Linked DNA regions of Ovis aries. The protein of the gene in region 1 interacts with the protein of each later gene in a pairwise test. Links are inferred from orthologs where the notes say so. Each region holds a gene or a part of one and is shown in the gene's direction. Other genes may lie near its edges.

Region 1 (4,181 bases):
CTTTAGACCTTAGCGTGGAGCAATGAAGAATCAGAAGTATCAGTTATGATGGTTGACTTTTTACGGGGTATATGGGGAGTGGCGAGATCTGTGGAATACAGGGCATAATAAATTATTGTAAGTATATAAGCTATTGTGACCTAAATAAACAACAGAAGACTATCATGAGAACAGAAGAGTCATTTCAGAAAGAATTGTTCCCAAGTTTTGGTCAGAAGACTGAGAATCCTAACTATACAAACTTTTGGCCTAGAATTTTGGAATGTGTGGAATACTGAGTCGTTGGAAAGCCCGTTTTATTATAATCCCTTTCTTGACAGCAAAACCAAGGCCCCCCCAACATGAGGCACAACTCCAGGTAGTCTTTACTAGGGCAGAGGAAGGGCCTGAGGGGAGCTGGCAAGACCTAATGAGGTGACCCCCTCTAGGACTTCATATTTGAGAACACCTGTCTGGTGACAACTGGACCCAGGAAGCGGCGGAAGGTGCCAGGCTGCTAGGATCCTCATTTTTCTGGGTGGTCAAGACACTTGACGAAGGCAATGGCACCCCACTCCAGTACTCTTTTGCTTGGAAAACCCCATGGACAGAGGAGCCTGGCGGGCTGCAATCCATGGGGTCGCCGAGAGTCAGACACGACTGAGCAACTTCACTTTCACTTTTCACTCTCATGCCTTGGAGAAGGAAATGGCAACCCACTCCAGTGTTCTTGCCTTAAGAATCCCAGGGATGGGGAAGCCTGGTGGGCTGCCGTCTATGGGGTCGCACAGAGTCGGACATGACTGAAGCGACTTAGCAGCAAGACACTTGATCCATCTCTAGAACAAGTTAACGGTTGCTGTAGGCGCTTCGTTTACAGTTGACGCTGCTGACGACGGTTTGACCCCAGGCTGGGAACGCTTGTCTCCTGTACGAAGCTGGCAAAGGGATACTGAAAACGTCTTCCTTCCGGAGGAAACAAATAGGGAGTAGTTGTAGGCGGTTTGGACAGTTCAGCAAACTGCTTTGAATTTCTTGGGGAATTCCAGGCGGAACATTGCCCAGCGTAACACCGAAGATCCGGCGCCCATACGGCGAGGGTGGGAGGGGGTACTGTTCACGACATCCTAGCCTGGGGGGGACATCTTCCCTGTCCCATGCAGCCAATAGGCATCCCGGCTGAGGCCCACGCACCCAATAGCCGACTTCAACCGAGACCCACTCAGCCAATGGCCGGCCCAGCCCTTTCCGCGAGGGCCCGCCTGCCTGCGCCCACCAATCAAAACTCGGGCCACCTTGGCACCACCCCTGGAGCCCACCCCACCCATCCGCCCCGCCTCCAACTCGCTGGAGCAGGGCTGGGCTAGACGGGCGCGCTCTCGGGGGCGGGGAGGGGGGGCAGTCCCGGTCCTGGCCTTCCGCGCGGGTGGGCTCGGAGCAGGCCGCGCCGGGCAGCAACCCCACTCTCACCCCGGAGGCCCCCTGCCCTTTCTCCCCCTTTCCCCCCGGCCCATGGTGCGAGGCTGGGAGCCGCCGCCCGGGCTGGACTGCGGTGAGTGATCCCCAGCCCTTTCGACTTCCCCTTGCAGTCCCTGTACGATCTCCGACCTCCGGAGCCCCATCTCCGCGCTGGAGGGAAGAGGAGAATTCTAGGTTCGAAGTGGTCCGGTTCTCTCTCCTTTCTCCTCAGGACTTTTCGGTTCCCTGTTTTAACTGGAGGAGGGTGAGTGGGTGTATAGGAGGAGGGGAAGGCCGGGTTGGGACGCCCTTGGCGAGGGGAGGGTTGAGATTTGCCTGCTCCCTGGGGCTCATTGCCCCAAGTGCAGCAACTTTTTGTTCTCTGACCCAGTTTGGAGCCTTCTAGACTGCCTGCGAAATGGAGGATAGGAGAAACGTTTCCTTCCCAGGCCTCCCCTCCTCCCCTCCATGACTGCCTCCTGGCGACTTCAACACACGTACAGAAACCTGGCCTTATTCCTGGGGAGCATGGCCTTTGGGAATGAAAGGTTTGAGAGAAACTGCCCCTTCTGACCCCTACCCAGCCATACTCAGAAAACCAACCAGAAAAGTGAAAACCTGAGTCCTCAAAGGTTCCTGGTGTTGCCTCCTAATCAGAGACTTCTAAACTGAAAGAAGACTCAAGCTGAGACCTATTTGGTAATGTGGACCCAGATGATATATTTTATATGAACCCTCTTCTCACCATACATTTGAAGGGCTTTTTATGCTGAGGATAGGTAGGTGGCAGTAACTGAAAGTAAGCCAGTGAAAGTAGGGAATTTTTAAAATGATGCATACATATCCTAAGCATTGTCATTAAAAGTACTTTCATCTCACCAATTTCTTGGGTAAGTGTCCCAGCGTTTTCTTTGTGTTGCTGATTGGCAGTCCCAATTGTCTTTCTAATATCAACTACATAAGCAAATCTCTAATCTGGCTGCACCCTGAGAACTTTAAAATAAACTACTTTCATCTGCCCCAATCCAGGCTAAGTAAATCAGAACGAGGTGGATAGCGTGGGTTAAGTTTCCCCGGGGAATTTTTCTAATATGCAGTCAGACTGGAACCACTGCATCATCATCTGTGATTTCCAGGTTTGGTTTCTTTAAAGTGGAGACTGAATTTAAACACTTTTGAAGCAATATGAATGCAGAATACTTTTGAGATTTTTAAGTCTCCTGCCCCTCCAGTCTTTTACAGTTTTCTTGCCTTCTCCCAACTCAACAATTTTTTTTTAATGTGCATTTCTTTGTATTATGTCTTTCCAAAGCATTTGACTTTTTTTTTTCAGAACCAATTCTTAATGCACTGATTTTCATAGGTTTATAGGATGTTTAATTATATAGAGAAAAACAAGGGGCATAAGCAGATTTGGAATCACACATAACTGGCCTCAGCACATAGGGCAGCTGAAGGAAGTAGATGACTTTGCCATGCTAGAGACTAGGCTACCAGCCTCTAGTGTCCAGTGCACTGTGGGTATTGATTATGTAATCCAGTGGGGATCAGTTAAACCAAGCTCCTAAACCAACTGAACATCTTTCGCTTCTGTCCAGCTAATAGCACTAGTACCTAGTCCCTTCTAAACTAATTTACATTCTCTTTCAGCCTTCCAACCACTTGTTCCATTCATTCATAAACTGTTTTCTTAAAGCAATTACGACCATGCCTTTACTAAGTTGGGAGGACATAGGACAGAGTTTCTAACGGGCTTCTGGACAATCAGTAAATCCCCTGAGATAATAATTTATAATCTGTAAGTTTCAATGTTTGGGGCGGGATGCGAGGTAAGTCGTAACTTTCTGAGAACCTTTAACTTCTATTGTCAAAGAGAGTCATGATCCAAAAAGTGAGAAGCACATGAACTGAGTATCACTAAATGTCCTTTAAGGCCCTGAAAACTCACGAAAACACATCTCACTCAGGAACATTCTTCAGTTCTCTGAATAAAGACTTAGATAACTTAGCAGGCTCATATCTGGTCTTCACTTGAACTGTCACCTGTTTTAACCATAAGCCTAGGCTCAAGATTTTTGTTTTGGGCCACACCATGCCACATGTGGGATCTTAAGTCTCCTGACCAGGGGATCACACTCATGCGTCTTGCAGTGAAAGTGTGGAGTCCCACCCAGTGGACCACCAGGAAATTCCCAACCTAGGCTCAGGTTCTGAAGATCTCTTTTTCCTAACCTTGTGTGAACACCTACACTAGAAGTTTAAGGCAGCCCATTAATACTTTTCTGCCTTTTGTCCAGGGATATGGAAAGCCCAAAGGGAAATAAGGCTTTGACTTATTTCAGTACAGGCCTTGACTCTGTACTTTTTATTGGTGACTTAAGTAGCAGTAGGACATATCTGGCATGGTAACAGATTTAGTAAATTCAGAATTGATAGTACCACCATCACTGACACCTCTGCCCAGAGGAGTCCTTATTTCTCCAGCTTTGATTTCTTTCTTTTTCTACTTTCTCCAAATGAGGTACAAGGACACAAGATGCTATAGTGCCTTCACTGTGCTTTTGATTACTGTAGGATCTACCCTCTTTGTTATAGTTCTCATGAACTGGTTCTAGTTTCCTCCTATAGCAAAGCCAGATTCTTCCAGGGAGGTACCAGCTCTACTGCTGTGTCCTAATTTTAAAGCACCATTCTGTATCAAAGTCTTTCACAACTTGTGTTTTGTGTTACTGAAGAAATGTGGA
Region 2 (3,515 bases), on another chromosome or scaffold:
GGATTTTTAATTTAGATTCTTTCTGAATCCTCCTGCATACTATTAATCCTGCTCTGTCCTATTTTGCATTCTTGTTAGTTCTCCCGAATGACAGGTGGGGTTGTATGTCTTTGCAGGAAGAGAAGGAGAAGGTGCAAGCACAGAAGGAGGAAGTTCTTAGCCACATGAATGACGTGCTAGAGAATGAGCTCCAGTGTATTATTTGCTCAGAATACTTCGTTGAGGTAATGATGAGTAGTGGCTCACGCCTTCTCACTCTCCTACCCCTGAATGGAGCCTCAGCTACACAGACTGCTTTTGCTCTAGGGTAACATTCTGAAGAGATTTTTCCTCCAGGAACTTACTGTAGCTATTTGACTTCAAAGTGGCTGCTGGAGGTGGCCACTTCTCACTTGCCTCCGCTGGCTTTTTTCTTACTTCATTTGTTCTTGAGTTCTTTTTTTGGCAGAATCAGTGTTTGGGGCTATAATAAAGCCTTTATCTTTTTGTTGTTGAGGGAAAAACACTTTGGTTTTGAAGAACCATCTAGGGGCTGCCCCACCCTCCCACAGGTCAGAATGTCATATGTTTCCTACATTGCCGACAACTATGAGCTGTTGGGTTTTGTGGGTTTTGCGGGGTTTTTTTTTTTGCCTAGTGTTGAGCTCCTGAAGGTTTTTTTTTTTTTTTTAACTCCTGGGATCCATTTGATTCTGGCAGAATCCAGAATTAGATGGCATTAGAAATTTGAAGTATCAGAATAAAGCTACTCAATAAAGCTAGTCTTTCTTTGCTCTGAATGGACACAGTGCTGAGAGTGGGCGTGCAGTGCAGCCTTTGAACAAGGGGGTAAATGTCATTGAGGTATGCTCACGGGATTCAGTGGCCAAATGGAGCATTTTTCAGGGACTCGGAGGCTCCTTATGAAAATGAAACATCACGCCTAGGATTTCATTTGTTATCCTGTCTTCTTTTTGCATAAACTCTCTTATTTTCGCAAATTCTACCACTTGTGTCCAGTTCATCTTACACAACAAGTGTTAGACTAAAGTTGTTAAATGATAGTGCTTTTCAGACTCATTTAAAAAGAAAACGCATACACACACAGCTTCCTTTTTTTCTGGTGGCCTTTAGGGAGATTGGGTCTATTAGCCTCCTGAAAAATCTGTCCTGGATAGACCTGTTTCTTTTGCTTTGGATCTGCTTTGACTTCAGATCATAATTTCCCCCATAGTTTGTAGTCATTTGATTCCCTACTTTGGAGAAACTCAGTTAGTACTGTTTCGACATGACTTATGCACCGTAATAGAAGACGACAAGGAAAGGGGTCGGAATAAGTGATGAGTTAGCCAACATGGAGCGTCTGCACAACATGTAAGAGACAAATAACCTGATCTTTGTTTGGTTTACAGCATGTGCTGACCTTCCCTGCTGGTCCTCTTTTAAAATCAGTGTTGGGTTAGAGATTTCATTTTAGTCAGCAGGTTTTTAGTCCTGTTTATGAGAATTTTGTCTCATTCTTTATTTTTACTTTTTCTTTTTTTAGTATGTCTCATTCTTTACTGAGAATGTTTCCTAGTTGGCCTTCTGGCTTCCACTTGGCATTTGGAAAATAATACAAAGTTTGTGTTATTTCCCCCTGCTTTCCCAAAAGCAAGAAAGAAAACTTTTTAGCTCCAGAAAAAGTTGTATCTTAGGAGATACAAGAGAAACAAGAGAAACGAAGAGTATGGTTTATGTTTTGAAAAGTGATAAGGACCTTGGCAGAAAGCTGACCATTGGGGTTGCTCAGGAGCACCTCAGATACGGGCCCTTTTCTGCTTTCTCTCTTCTCATAGGCTTATTGATATTACTTAAGGCACTGTCAGCTGAACCCATTACATTTTTTCCTATTTTGTTTTTAGATTCTTTTTCCCTAGCCTAAGTGCTTTTACGTATACTTTTTAAAGCTTCTTTTGAGTAGAGATAAGGGCCTCCTAACATTCTGTGTACTGAGTATTCACTGTGTGAGTTAAAATCGAGGTTTTACTGTACCATTAGGACATACAGCTGTTTCTCCTGAGAGAATTAGTGATGCATGTGTATCAGACATGCGCATGTTTTCTAGTCCTGCTTAAGTCCAGTGGCATTTATTTGCGGGATAGCTAAGCCACGTTGGCAGTGTGAATTGAGTTGGTGGAACAAAATAAGACAAATCAGCCTACCTGGAGCCTGAGTTTATGAGCTTAACTTTGAGAGAGAAAACAAATAATCTAACATGAAACTTAAAATTTACAGTTCCTAGGAATGATTCTGATACCCTTTGTAAGGCCTCTAGATGAAGTTATGGTTTAATTTCTATTTCGTCTTGAGAACTAACTGCTTTCCTAACTCTGAGATCACAGCGGCCCTGGGGCAGTGAGCGTCACAGTTCTGATGTGTGTGTTCATATTTCCGTTATAGGCTGTCACCTTGAACTGTGCCCATAGTTTCTGCTCCTACTGTATCAATGAGTGGATGAAGAGGAAAGTAGAATGCCCCATTTGTCGGAAGGACATCAAGTCCAAAACCCGCTCCCTGGTTCTGGACAATTGCATTAGTAAGATGGTAGACAATCTGAACTCAGAAGCGAAAGAACGACGAATTGTCCTCATCAGGGAACGAAAAGGTGAGTGAGTATGGAAAGAGGTGAGTCCCCTCAACAGACTTTTTTGGATCCAGAAGAGTCAGGTAAACGGTTCTTGAGCTTAAGAAGGAGGTGGAAGTAATGGGGGAAAGTAAAGGAAGCTAAAGGTAATAGACATGTAAGGAACAGTTGAGGCAGAATGGAATATTTGAGCAGCAGGGAATGGGGAGGCTTAGGTGTTTGTGTCTTAGTTAAGGGATAAGAAAAGATGGGATTAGAAAAACACAGGGGTGGACAACTTACAGTGTTAGTCACTAGATGGGGCTGTCGTTCAAGACAGTTTAGTTGCTGTCTGTTGCTCTCGGTAGGTTGCAGAAATCTTGGGTTGGGTACACAATAAATTATAAATTATAAATAGGATGTGTACAAGTCAAAGATTCACAGCTTGGAAAATGCCAAAACATATGAAGAAAACATATATAGGTTCTATCTGTAAGAGTCACAGCTTAACTACACAAATCGGGCATAACATTAAGCCAAAAAGAGATTAATTTAATCCTACTATGTTAACTTCACTAGGACTAGTTTGACTCAGTTGTGTCAGACTCTTTGTGACCCCATGGACTGTAGCCCACCAGGCTCCTCCCTCCATAGGATTCTCCGGGCAAGAATACTGGAGTGGGTTGCCATTTCCTTCTCCAGGGGATCTTCCCGACCCAGGGACCGAACCCGGGTCTCCCGCATTGCAGGCAGATGCTTTAACCTCTGAGCCACCAGGGAAGCACATTAACTTTGGGTGTCCTAATAAACAAGTTTCCCAGAGAGAGTTTGAATAAAGAGATTAGGGAAGTGAGGGTGGGTGAGTTTCCTCAAGGAACCATACTTCCATAGAGAGTATCTCCTCCTCTAACACAAGTGATCTCATCACACC

Evidence for each region. The genes of interacting proteins can lie anywhere in the genome.
Region 2: the proteins of HOMEZ (region 1) and RNF8 interact in binary tests that used the Homo sapiens proteins (3 or more experiments, as listed by UniProt). The two-hybrid records come from large-scale screens. The link is inferred for Ovis aries from reciprocal best matches to the Homo sapiens genes HOMEZ and RNF8.

What each region holds. Positions count from the first base shown.
Region 1 is NC_056060.1:21,427,897-21,432,077, forward strand, and holds the start of HOMEZ (homeobox and leucine zipper protein Homez), read left to right. Parts: upstream 1-1,379; 5' UTR 1,380-1,491; coding exon 1,492-1,531; exon of another isoform or gene 1,532-1,702; intron 1,703-1,828; exon of another isoform or gene 1,829-2,136; intron 2,137-4,181. UniProt on the Homo sapiens protein: May function as a transcriptional regulator.
Region 2 is NC_056073.1:11,332,323-11,335,837, forward strand, and holds part of RNF8 (E3 ubiquitin-protein ligase RNF8), read left to right. Parts: intron 1-116; coding exon 117-224; intron 225-2,421; coding exon 2,422-2,626; intron 2,627-3,515. UniProt on the Homo sapiens protein: E3 ubiquitin-protein ligase that plays a key role in DNA damage signaling via 2 distinct roles: by mediating the 'Lys-63'-linked ubiquitination of histones H2A and H2AX and promoting the recruitment of DNA repair proteins at double-strand breaks (DSBs) sites, and by catalyzing 'Lys-48'-linked ubiquitination to remove target proteins from DNA damage sites.